Linked DNA regions of Callithrix jacchus. The protein of the gene in region 2 interacts with the protein of the main gene of each other region in a pairwise test. Links are inferred from orthologs where the notes say so. Each region holds a gene or a part of one and is shown on either strand. Other genes may lie near its edges. The genes, in order: CCDC33, PIN1 and GLI1.

Region 1 (3,647 bases), on a different chromosome or scaffold from region 2:
AAGGTCCCTAGAAACACCCTCCTGCCCCTGAAACCCTCAGCAGTGAAGGCTACACACAGGGCTGGGCACACAGGGGCTCTGGTGAGGTTGCAGAGGCAGGCTCAGGGAAGTCCCTTGCTTTGGGCTGGCCTGAGAGGTGTCACCTGGTCCTTTCTGCTTATCCGAGCCTGATTGGCAGTTTTAGGTGGCTTTTGGTTAATATCAATGGGGAAGAAAACCCCCAAATCATTTATTTATTTGTTTATTTTGAGACAGTCTCCCTCTGTTACCCAGGCTGGACTGCAGTGGTGCAATCTTGGCTCACTGCAACCTCTGCCTCCCAGGCTCAAGCGATTCTCATGCCTCAGCCTCTCAAGTAGCTGAGACTACAGACTCATACCATGGCCAGCTAATTTTTGCATTTTTAGTAGAGATGGGGATTCACCATGTTGGTCAGGCTGATCTCGAACTGCTGACCTCAAGTGATCCGACCACCTCGGCCTCCCAAAGTGCTGGGATTATAAGCATGAACTACCACTCCTGGCCCCAAATCATTGATTTAATCTAAGTATTTTTGCTTGTTTGCTTTGCAGAGGCAGAATCTTTGGAGACATGGGGAGATGAAATAATTCGACGGATTCTGGGGTTAGGAGCTGGGAGGCGTTGCCCCAGGTGGCCCTTCTGGGGAAGTCCCTCTCTGCTGTGCTAGTCTGCAGGGCCCTCTCTGGAGGTCCAACCTCCATCTAGCCTGGCTCACACTGAATCCCAACTGTGTTCTGAGGCGCTTCTAGGGAATGAAGGAGCTCAGGGGATCTCTGGATGAGGCTCCTGAAAGAGGAGGGGAGCAGTGCAATCCTGGGTCTCCCAGGTCCACAGATGTAACTGAGTACAGGGACCCTTTTTGCAGATTCTCCTGAAGCTGAAAGGCTTCAGGAAAGCAAAGCCTCCAGGGGTGGGGCAGAAGCCGGGGAGCTGATCACATCAGGGTATGGACCCACCTGTGTCAGGCTTTCCTGGCCGCCTGTTTGGAGGTGGGGGCTTGCTCCTGTCCCGAAGCCTGTCTTCCAGCACCTGCTCCATCTTCTCGATCACCTGAAGGGCAGAGCAGAGGCTGGGCTGGCCCAGGGGCTCCCTACCCTGCTGACATCGGTGGGCCTCAGGGATAGCCCCTCTGGCACTTGCCTTCTCCTGGTGCCGCACCGTCTCCTCCAGCGCCTTCATCTTCTGTAGCTTGCCCTGGTACTGCTTCAGCAGTGCGGCCTGTGGCTGCTGAGCCTGATACAGGTGGAGCAGCTCCTTCTCTTGATCATTCTTCTGTGAGATGGGGGAGGAGGGAAGGGGAGAGAATGGGTGCCTGGGAGCCCACCTTGGCCCCTCTGCTAAGTCCTCCACTGGGCTGGTCCCCCTCTCTTCTGTGCCTCCATTCCCTGTGTGCCTGTTTTCCCTTCTCCTCCCAGACTCTTCTCATCCCGATGCCCCCACCATAGCTCCCTCCCCTCTGCCCCCCACAAGCCCCGGCTCACTCGAATCAGCTCATTCTGCAAATGCTGCACCCTGTCCCTCAGTTTCTTCACATCCAGCTCACTCAGCAGCAGTTTCTGCTTCACGGACACTGTTGGGTGAGTAGGTGAGCCAGCTCAGGGAGGAAGGAGCCTCTCTCAGCTCGAATCCGCCTGGTCAGTAGTGGGAAGGCACATAGTCCTCGGGCCCAGGGCTTGGGACAGGACTGGATTCTCCATTTGCCATCCCTGAGAGGACCCAGCTAGGCAGGGGCTGTGTGAGTGTCTGTGGGCATGGGGTTCCTATTCACCAGAGTCCAGTAGCATGTGTGTCTGGGAAAAGCTCCCCACCTCCCTGTTGCACTACCTGGAGTCTGCGCCCAGGCAGATGCCCTGGTGCCCATGGTGGCCTGCACACCCTCACCTGTGTGCCAGGCCTCACTGGCTTTTCCCTGCCCATCTTCCTCCTCCTGCCGGGCCAGGTGGCTCCTCAGTATTCGGTTCTCTCTTTCCAGGATGCTGGCCTGTCTCCGCAGTGACAGGATGTCCTCTGCCATCTTCTGCATGGCCCGCCGGTAGTAGTTCGTATCCTGTGGATCCCAGAGCCCAGAGCTGAGCCCACTGCCCCATAGCAACCCTGGTCCCATGTCCACACCCACACTTGAAAGTCAGCAGGTCTCCACCAAGGCCAGTGAACAGGAGGAGCCCCACACCATGGCCCTAAGTCTTAGCAACTCCCTGGAGGGGTGGTTATCACTTGATCCTCACCCATCCTGGCCATGTGAGGGCAGCCACATTAATGTTCTCTCTGGGGGGGGGCATATCATGTCCCGTGATACCAACACAGGGGGAAACCCCAGGTGTGGACACAGGGGAGGAGGCCTGTGGGCAATGGAGACTTGAGAAGATCCAGGGCCAGGTTTGCCAGATCCGGCTCAATCATAGCCGTTTCTTCACCTTTTCCCCCCTCCCTCCTCACCTTCTTATTTATTTATTTATTGAGATTCTTGCTCTGTCACCCAGGGTGGAGTGCAGTGGCACAGTCTCGGCTCACTGCAACCTCCTCTGTCCCCTGTTCAAGCAATTCTCCTGCCTCAGCCTCCTGAGTAGCTGTGATTACAGGCACTTGCCATCACATCCAGCTAATTTTTTGTATTTTTAGTAGAAATAGGGTTTCATCATGTTGGCTAGGCTGGTCTCGAACTCCTGGCCTCATGATCCACCATCCTCAGTGGATCCCAGCCTCCCAAAGTGCTGGGATTACAAGCGTGAGCCACCGTGCCCAGCCCTCCATCCCCACCCTTCTAATTCCTCTCATTTCTCATGTCACTGATAAGCCAGGGAAAAACCTCTCAGAAATCCCACTGATGCCACTTGGAAGGCGACTGGGTGCCAGCTCCCCAACCAGCCCAGTAGTCAGAAGATGACCCAAGGTCGCCCCAGAAGACCCAGGCTAGAACTCAGGGTGGAGGCTGGGATCCAGCTCCAGGATGTGGGGTATCAGGTGGGGACAGGGGGACTGGAGTCAGCCATGAGGTCAGGAATAGCAGCAGTCCTGAGGTCTGATGCTGACTGAGCATTCGCTGTATTCCAGGCTTTCTTCTAAGCATTTTATGTGCCCTCCCTCAGTCAGTCCTCTCATCAGCCCTTCGAGGATAGACACTATTATCCCCGTTCTACCAATGCGGAAACCAGGGCGCAGAGAGGGCTTGAGTCACTTGCTCAGTTACAAAAGTGATGAGTGATAGAGCCAGGGTGTGAAATCCAGGCCTGCAGGGGCTCGAGCCTGTGTTCTGAAGAGCTGTGCCATCCTGCCATGAGAACTCCAGACGTGGACGCTTCACAATATGTTGAGAAGTGATAAAAGCAGGCTACAAACAAGAATTATCAGTGCAATCCCCAAATGAGAGAAAAATTCATGCCTGCCTGTGTATAAATATATAGGAAAATTAATAGGCTATATTTATATGCATTTGTGTGATAATCAGAAATTCCCTACTGTTATTTATGAAAGGTTTCATAAAGGGAGTTTCTTTCTTGCTTTTTTTTGTTTTTGTTTTTGTTTTTTTTTGAGACAGAGTCTTGCTCTGTTACACAGGCTGGAGTGTAGCTGCGCGATCTCAGTTCACCACAGCCTTCGCCTCCCGGATTCAAGCAATTCTCTGCCTC
Region 2 (3,001 bases):
CTGTCAAAACGAGTCACTCAGATGCTACTGTGTTGCCATCTTGCCCCCTCTGCTGGCAGCCCTGTTCCTCCTTCCTCCACCAGCCCTGGCCTTCCCTTCCTCCTGGAGATTCAGACCTGATGGGCTGGTTTGGGCCACACAGGGAGGGGCCATCCTGAGTTCTGCCAGCATGCAGACTGTAGGTAGGAAGCTGGGAGAAGAGCTTTGTCGCCTGCCTCTGGGACCCTGGGACCCACAGTCTTCGAGTGTCCCTTGCAAAGCCCACCAGGGTGCCTCGGAGGCCTTTCCCAGTGCCAGGCTGTTCTTCCCAGATGGAACAGCATGGGAGGGCTGCTGTGGCAGTGTTGGGCCCTCCCTGGACAGCTCTCCTACCTCTGCCCAGAGGACCCCGGGGGCCCAGCCCCCTGCCTGGGTCAGCCTCTCCCTGCCTCCCACTCTGGCCTGTCCAGCTTGGATATAGATTTTCCCTCAAGTGTGTGTGTGTGTGTGTGTGTGTGTGCACGCGCGCGTGTGTGTGCACGCGCGCGTGCGTGCGTGCACATGGTGAGAGTGACAGCGGGAGCAGGGGTGTGAGACTCACAGGGTGGCAGGACTCATGGATGACTGGTGGGGTGCACCAAGTGCTGATGCACATGAAGGTGCATCTTCTTGGGTGAGGACAGGTGTGACTGGGTGCAAGTGTGTGTGAGGAGAAGGGTTGTGGGGCGCATGTGCACTTGTAGGGGGAGGTTTTCCAAGTGAAGTGCTGCCCCCCTCCCACCCAGCTCTGGAGCCCTCCATCCCGTTTGGTCAGGTGCCCCTGCCCCTGACCTGGCACTCCCATTCCATTCCATGTCTGCAGGCTACATCCAGAAGATCAAGTCAGGAGAGGAGGACTTTGAGTCTCTGGCCTCACAATTCAGCGACTGCAGCTCAGCCAAGGCCAGGGGAGACCTGGGCGCCTTCAGCAGAGGTGCGCAAGGAATGGGCTTCACCAGGTCTGGGGACCCTCTCCTCCCTAAGGGGTAGAGGCTGGGAGGGTCTGGGCACTGGGATCCGGGGTGCCACATGGCCCTTCAGGGTCCAGCAGGTGGCAGCACAGCCCCTTCCTCAGGCTTCAGAGTCTGCTCTGCTGGGCAGGGCGGGGGCCACACAGGGTGGGGGCTGCAGAGCTTTCTTCCTGGCATCGTCTCTATCCCGGGCCCACCAAGGCAGGTGCGTCCTGTCCTCTGCCTCTTCCTTTGGGGGTTTAAGGCTGGGTTCCCTGAGAATCCCAGGGAATGTTCCCCAGAATCCCTCTGGGTGGGGGGAGGTGGCCCTGAGTTTAGGCCTGTCTGGCCAGGACAGTGGAAATCAGGGGCAGAGAGGACCAAGCATCCTCCTTTTCCTTCTCAGGGTCTGCAAACAGGGAGAGGCCAGGCTGGGGTGTGGGGTGCATGCATCTGAGGGGGTTGGGGGTCCATAATGGGGCCAGCAGCTTCCCCCCTGCTCCGAGGAGGCTGGTGGGACAGATGACCTGGCAGGGCTGGGAACCAGGCCCAGGGAGATGAGTTCACTACCGAAGCGACCCCTAAACGCGCAGCAGCGGCTGCAGCCCTGCCTGCCATCCTTCATGCTGTCCTCGGGCTTCCTGGGGCCTCTTTAATGGCCCTGCCGCCCCCAGCTGGGCCACCACTCAGCACCGGCAATAAACATGGTGACGGATGAGTGTGGACGAGTGTGAGGCTCAGCGCAGTCAGGAGCCCCATCTATTGTGGCTGCCACCCGCCCTGCCTTATCCTGGCCTCTGACAACCCTGCCTTGACACCCCACCATCCCTCCCGGCTCCCAGGTCAGATGCAGAAGCCATTTGAAGATGCCTCATTTGCGCTGCGGACGGGAGAGATGAGCGGGCCCGTGTTCACGGATTCTGGCATCCACATCATTCTCCGCACAGAGTGAGGGTGGGGAGCCCAGGCCTGGCCTCTGGGTGGGGCAGGGCGGCTGGGCCCGCCAGCTCCCCCACTGCCTGCCGGCCAGTGGTCAAACCCCCTACTCCCTGCCACCGTCAAACAGTATTTATTGTTCCCAAAATGGCTGGGAGGGGGCCCTTCCAGATTGGGGGCCCTAGAGTCCCCACTCCCCGTCCATTCCCAGTTGGGGCTGCGACTGCCAGGCTCTCCCTTAAGGAATTGACTTCAGCAGGGGTGGAAGGTGCCCAGAACCAGGGCAGTGTGGTGGGAGGGGTGTTCCAAAGAGAAGGCCTGGTCAGCAGAGCCGCCCCGTGTCTTCCCCAGGTCCTGGAGGCAGACTCGAGGGCCGAGTTGTTTCTAGTTAGGCCACGCTCCTCTGTTCAGTTGCAAAAGCAAACACTCGTGCGGCCCAGCAGTGGGCCCTCTGAGCAACCGTGCAGTACCCTTTTACCCCAATTAAACACCTAGAACCACTACTCCGCTCTCTTATGTCTCATTTCTCTTTAGGGAAGCATAGGGGGCACCATGTCACTGGGAGGGGATCACAATCCCCCATCCTAAGGGTCCCAGCTATGCGTTTACCCTCAAGAGGCTCCCCCTTGCCCTGGGCCAGGGGGAGTCCCAGCAGCTGGCTCTCAGGGACGTGGGCACTGTTCAGCCACCCAGCACCCTGATACCTGCTTCCCTGGCATCTCAGGTGCTTCTGGAAGGTTCATGGGTCCAGCCCAGCACCCACTGCAGCTGTGGTTACCATGACAACAGGGCCCTCCGGGACTGGAGGGGGCTCCTGCAGGGAGGGGGATGGGAGCAGACACAGCTTCCAGTGCCTGAAGTGGGACAGGGGATCCTGGGGTGGGTGGTGAGGAGATGGGGTCCCCCACCAGTGTTGGGGCTGTGGGTGTGGCCTGCCTGATCCCCATCCCTGTTCAGTCAGCTGTGGGTCTGTTGGATGGAGAAGTGGTTATGCCTGCATACCCTACCCCCCCCTCACTTGATGAGGACCAGCCCAGATTGCAGGGGTGCCTGGCTGGCATTGCTTAGGGACCTGAGCAACTAAAGCTCAGCCCCAG
Region 3 (3,747 bases), on a different chromosome or scaffold from region 2:
GGTGAGACGGGGAGCGGAACCCGGACCCCAAGACCCAGCCCGAGCCCCGCAGCCAGGGCTGTATCCTTCCTAACTCTTTTTCCAGCCGAGATGCGGATGCCGCATCCAAGACCTCCCAACTCGACCTCGGCACTAATGTTGGGGGCGGGGGGCACAGCTGGCTGGCAGCTGGATGGGGGGGACACTTCTCCCGCCTTCTTCCTCTTTAACTCACCGAGAAGGCAGACTGGCAAATGATTCCCCAAACACTAGAGACTCCCCCAATCTTGCCTACTCAGTCATCTTTCTGCCCCACTGTCCAGCCACCGAAGAGCCTCCAAGGAAATGGGGCGACATCCCTCCTCGCCCACACCCACGCGTGCCACAGCCCACCCACATCTCCCCTTCAGGCTAGTAAAAGGCAAATTTTTTAGCTTCGATAAAGTTTTTCTGGGGTATGAGAATTTGGGATGGGACAGGGAGCTCTAGGGTTCCCCTGCCGGAGCCATAAACCATCTTCGCCGTCTCCCTGTTTTCCAGAGTCCCCCTCGCACCCCCGCTCCCCAACTCCCAGGAGTCGGCTCCGCCTCCCTACTCCCGGTCCCGCCTTCCCCGCCCCCGTTCCTCCTCGGCCCACCCAAGTCGCCGCCGCAGGCACTGGCTGCAGACTACTCCGCTCCCCCCGCCCGCCCGGGGAGCCCAGTCGAGCGAGCCTTAGGGGTGGGGGCTAAGGGGCGGGACACATTCTTGCCTCCTCCTCTCAGCGCATCCGGAAAGCGGGCAGTGGCGCCCTAGGGGGCACTACTGGAGAGTGGGGGTCCCCGTAGGTGGGATGAGAAAGAAGAATCCAGAAAGTATGGAGGAGAGAAAGTGACTGGATCAATAAAATTAGGTGTGTACGGGGAGGAGGAGGAGCCGGGACACCTTAGGTTCCTGGGTATCGCAGCCGGCTTCCCAAGGGTTAACCCCTCCAGACCCCCGGGAACCCCCTGGTGACGTCAAGGGCGGGGATGCCAGGGAGATAACGGTGAGGGGGAGAGGTCTCTGGACCCCGCCCCCCAGGGAAAACCACCCTTATTCCGACCCTTACAACTCCCCCGGGAAACCGCCCCGCCTTCTCCCTCTACTGGGACGTAAAGACCTATCCCAGAAGACCCCAGCTCTCCAGACCCCTAAAACCCTCAGTCCTCAGCCTCTACCAGGTCCCTTTTCCCTAATCCTGTCCCCAAAGCTAGCTGCCCAGGGCTGATTGTTTCGGGGTCATGGGGCCTGAAAGAGGATTCAGAGCGGGGAGCAAGGGCAGGCAGGGTGGTCTGAGCCAGAGGAGGGGCCTCAGTCCCCAGCTCCCGTTTGGGCGGGGGACCAATGGGGATACACTGGCTGACAGTGGCCAGTGGTCCCGCCCAGCCCCGGTAGGGGTCTCCCTGCGGCTGGCTCCCGCTGCCCCGGTGGTCCTGAGTTCAGAGGGTCAAGACAAGGTCTCCCTGGCTCATCCTGAGCGCCTTGCCCTCAGCCCTTGGGACTCAGGAGTCCAAAATTGCCTGGGGTCATTCTAGGGCCTTCACTAGACCTTGGACAGCCTCTCCAAGCCCCCTTCCTAGTCCAGAAGACACTCCTTTCCCCCAAACACAAGCATCCACTGGCACATCTGTCACGAGACAGGTCAAGGGTGCAAGCCCGGCTGGCCCCTAATGGTTCTGTTGCCTCCCACACACCCGTCCCCACCCCACCTGGAGCTCCCTCCTTTTCAGTCCCCTCCTTTCAGAAACACTGACGTCTTCCTGCCCCACGCGCAGACACACACCTGGAGTTCCCTCTCTACCACGCAGACCTCCAGCTGGCCATCCCTCCAGCCTCTTCAGCTCTCAACCTCATGAAAGTGAGATGTTTCTAATATATGGGAGAGGCGGAGACAAAGGCCCACGGTTGCCTGAGACAGAGATACACAGACTGACAGAAGAAGAAAGGGAAGAAAAGGAAGATACAGAGAAAGATACAAGTGAAAAAATTGGAGTTTCTAATGTCTCACCCCAGGCTCTCCCACCCCCATTTTGCCTCCGTGTCCCCGGGTCTGGGACGAGTCCCTCGGAAGCTGAGCATCCCCTGAGGCCCCCTCCCCCACTGCTCCCAGGTGGTCCCCCGCCTGCCCCCCCTTCTCACCTCTGTCTGGGCGCTGGGCTCAGGATGCGCGGTCCAGGGCTGGAGTCTGGGCTGGGGGGTGTGCGGTGGGGAGGGGGGGGCGGAGAGGGCCACGGCAGCGCAGCCTCAATGCCACCCCCACCCCCCCAACCTGGCCCCCAGCCCTCCCGCCGGCCCAGCCCGCCGGGCCGCAAGCCCGGACCACCCGCGAGAAGCGCAAACTTTTTTTTCCCTTTGCAAAAACTTTTTCTCGCTCCAGCCGCTGGCGCGCCGCCGCTCTTCCCGCTCGCCCTTCAACTCCCTCCTATTTCCCTCCCTCTGCCGTTCTGGAGGATGAGGCGGGGTAGCTGGAAGCAAGAGAGGGGGTGCCGGGCTTATTGCACCCCCAGGACCCCCAGGATCCTCCCCCTCCCTTGAGGGACCCTATACTGCCTACGCCCCCCAACCCCCCCAACACTCTGCTGTTGGTGGGCAGTAAACCCCGGCATGGATTTCTGGATCGGCTGGCCCCAAAGAGGTCCCGACCCAGAGACAGAAAACCAAATTCAGGAAAATATTGCGGAACAGGGGGAGAAGTTCAACTGAGAAGGATAATAGTGGAGGTAAGTAGTCGCCTTTGGTTGGTGCCAACTGAGCCTTCTGACATCCTGTGGCTTATCGGCATGCCTTACCCTTTGGATGGAACTTGGAGAGGCTGGGACAGAGTTGGGGTTTGGGGCAAATCATTGAGGGGTTAGGGGCTCTGCCAGAAAATGAGGAGTCTATGGAGCACAAAAGCTAGGAGCAGCGGCTGAGGCTCTGGGTGTAGGGTGAGCCCTGGGACCGAAGCCCCTTTCTGGAGAACCCCCGCTCTCCGTCTGCAAGTTCGAGACTGCGGCCACCTCCGCACCTCGCCTCCGAGGGCTCTAGCCGCTCTTCAAGGCTTTCTGCTCCCTCTGCTGGCCGTTCTCATACATGACACCTGCTTGCAGTCGTGGCAGAAGAGGTGGGAGAGCCGAAGGAGGAGATCGGTCAGGTCCCCTCACTAAAGCTCAGTTAAAAGCCCAGGAGGGGCCGGGCGCGGTGGCTCAAGCCTGTAATCCCAGCACTTTGGAAGGCCGAGGCGGGTGGATCACGAGGTCAAGAGATCGAGACCATCCTGGTCAACATGGTGAAACCCCGTCTCTACTAAAAATACAAAAAGTTAGCTGGGCATGGTGGCGCGGGCCTGTAATCCCAGCTACTCAGGAGGCTGAGGCAGGAGAGTTGCTTGAACCCAGGAGGCAGAGATTGCGGTGAGCAGAGATCGCGCCATTGCACTCCAGCCTGGGTAACAAGAGCGAAACTCCGTCTCAAAAAAAAAAAAAAAAAGCCCAGGAGGTGTGGATATGTGAACTCAAAGAAACGGAGAGGCTCACTGTCAGAGGTTGCTATGCCCAGCGGTACTGCCTCACAGGGTGGTGCCCTGCCCCTTTAGATTTGCGTTGCCATCATGACCAGATATAGGGGAGGGGCACCATTCCAGTCTCTGATTTTTATGAGAAAGAGGAGAAAGCATGATAGAAAAGGAGCACCTTCCCCTCTTTTGTTCAAGCCCCCAGGCAGACTTCCCACATCCTAGCTCTGCTTCCAAGAACTTCCCACATCCTA

Evidence for each region.
Region 1: the proteins of PIN1 (region 2) and CCDC33 interact in a two-hybrid assay, tested with the Homo sapiens proteins (2 studies listed by BioGRID). The two-hybrid records come from large-scale screens. The link is inferred for Callithrix jacchus from reciprocal best matches to the Homo sapiens genes PIN1 and CCDC33.
Region 3: the proteins of PIN1 (region 2) and GLI1 interact in binary tests that used the Homo sapiens proteins (3 or more experiments, as listed by UniProt). The link is inferred for Callithrix jacchus from reciprocal best matches to the Homo sapiens genes PIN1 and GLI1.

The regions. Positions count from the first base shown.
Region 1 is NC_133509.1:21,172,924-21,176,570, reverse strand, and holds part of CCDC33 (coiled-coil domain-containing protein 33), read right to left. Parts: intron 2,069-3,647; coding exon 1,903-2,068; intron 1,592-1,902; coding exon 1,503-1,591; intron 1,294-1,502; coding exon 1,162-1,293; intron 1,072-1,161; coding exon 978-1,071; intron 1-977.
Region 2 is NC_133523.1:9,042,768-9,045,768, forward strand, and holds the end of PIN1 (peptidyl-prolyl cis-trans isomerase NIMA-interacting 1), read left to right. Parts: intron 1-841; coding exon 842-952; coding exon of another isoform or gene 953-977; intron 978-1,810; coding exon 1,811-1,920; 3' UTR 1,921-2,407; downstream 2,408-3,001. UniProt on the Homo sapiens protein: Peptidyl-prolyl cis/trans isomerase (PPIase) that binds to and isomerizes specific phosphorylated Ser/Thr-Pro (pSer/Thr-Pro) motifs.
Region 3 is NC_133510.1:62,231,921-62,235,667, forward strand, and holds the start of GLI1 (zinc finger protein GLI1), read right to left. Parts: upstream 2,447-3,747; 5' UTR 2,140-2,446; intron 1,930-2,139; 5' UTR 1,784-1,929; intron 1-1,783. UniProt on the Homo sapiens protein: Acts as a transcriptional activator. Binds to the DNA consensus sequence 5'-GACCACCCA-3'. Regulates the transcription of specific genes during normal development.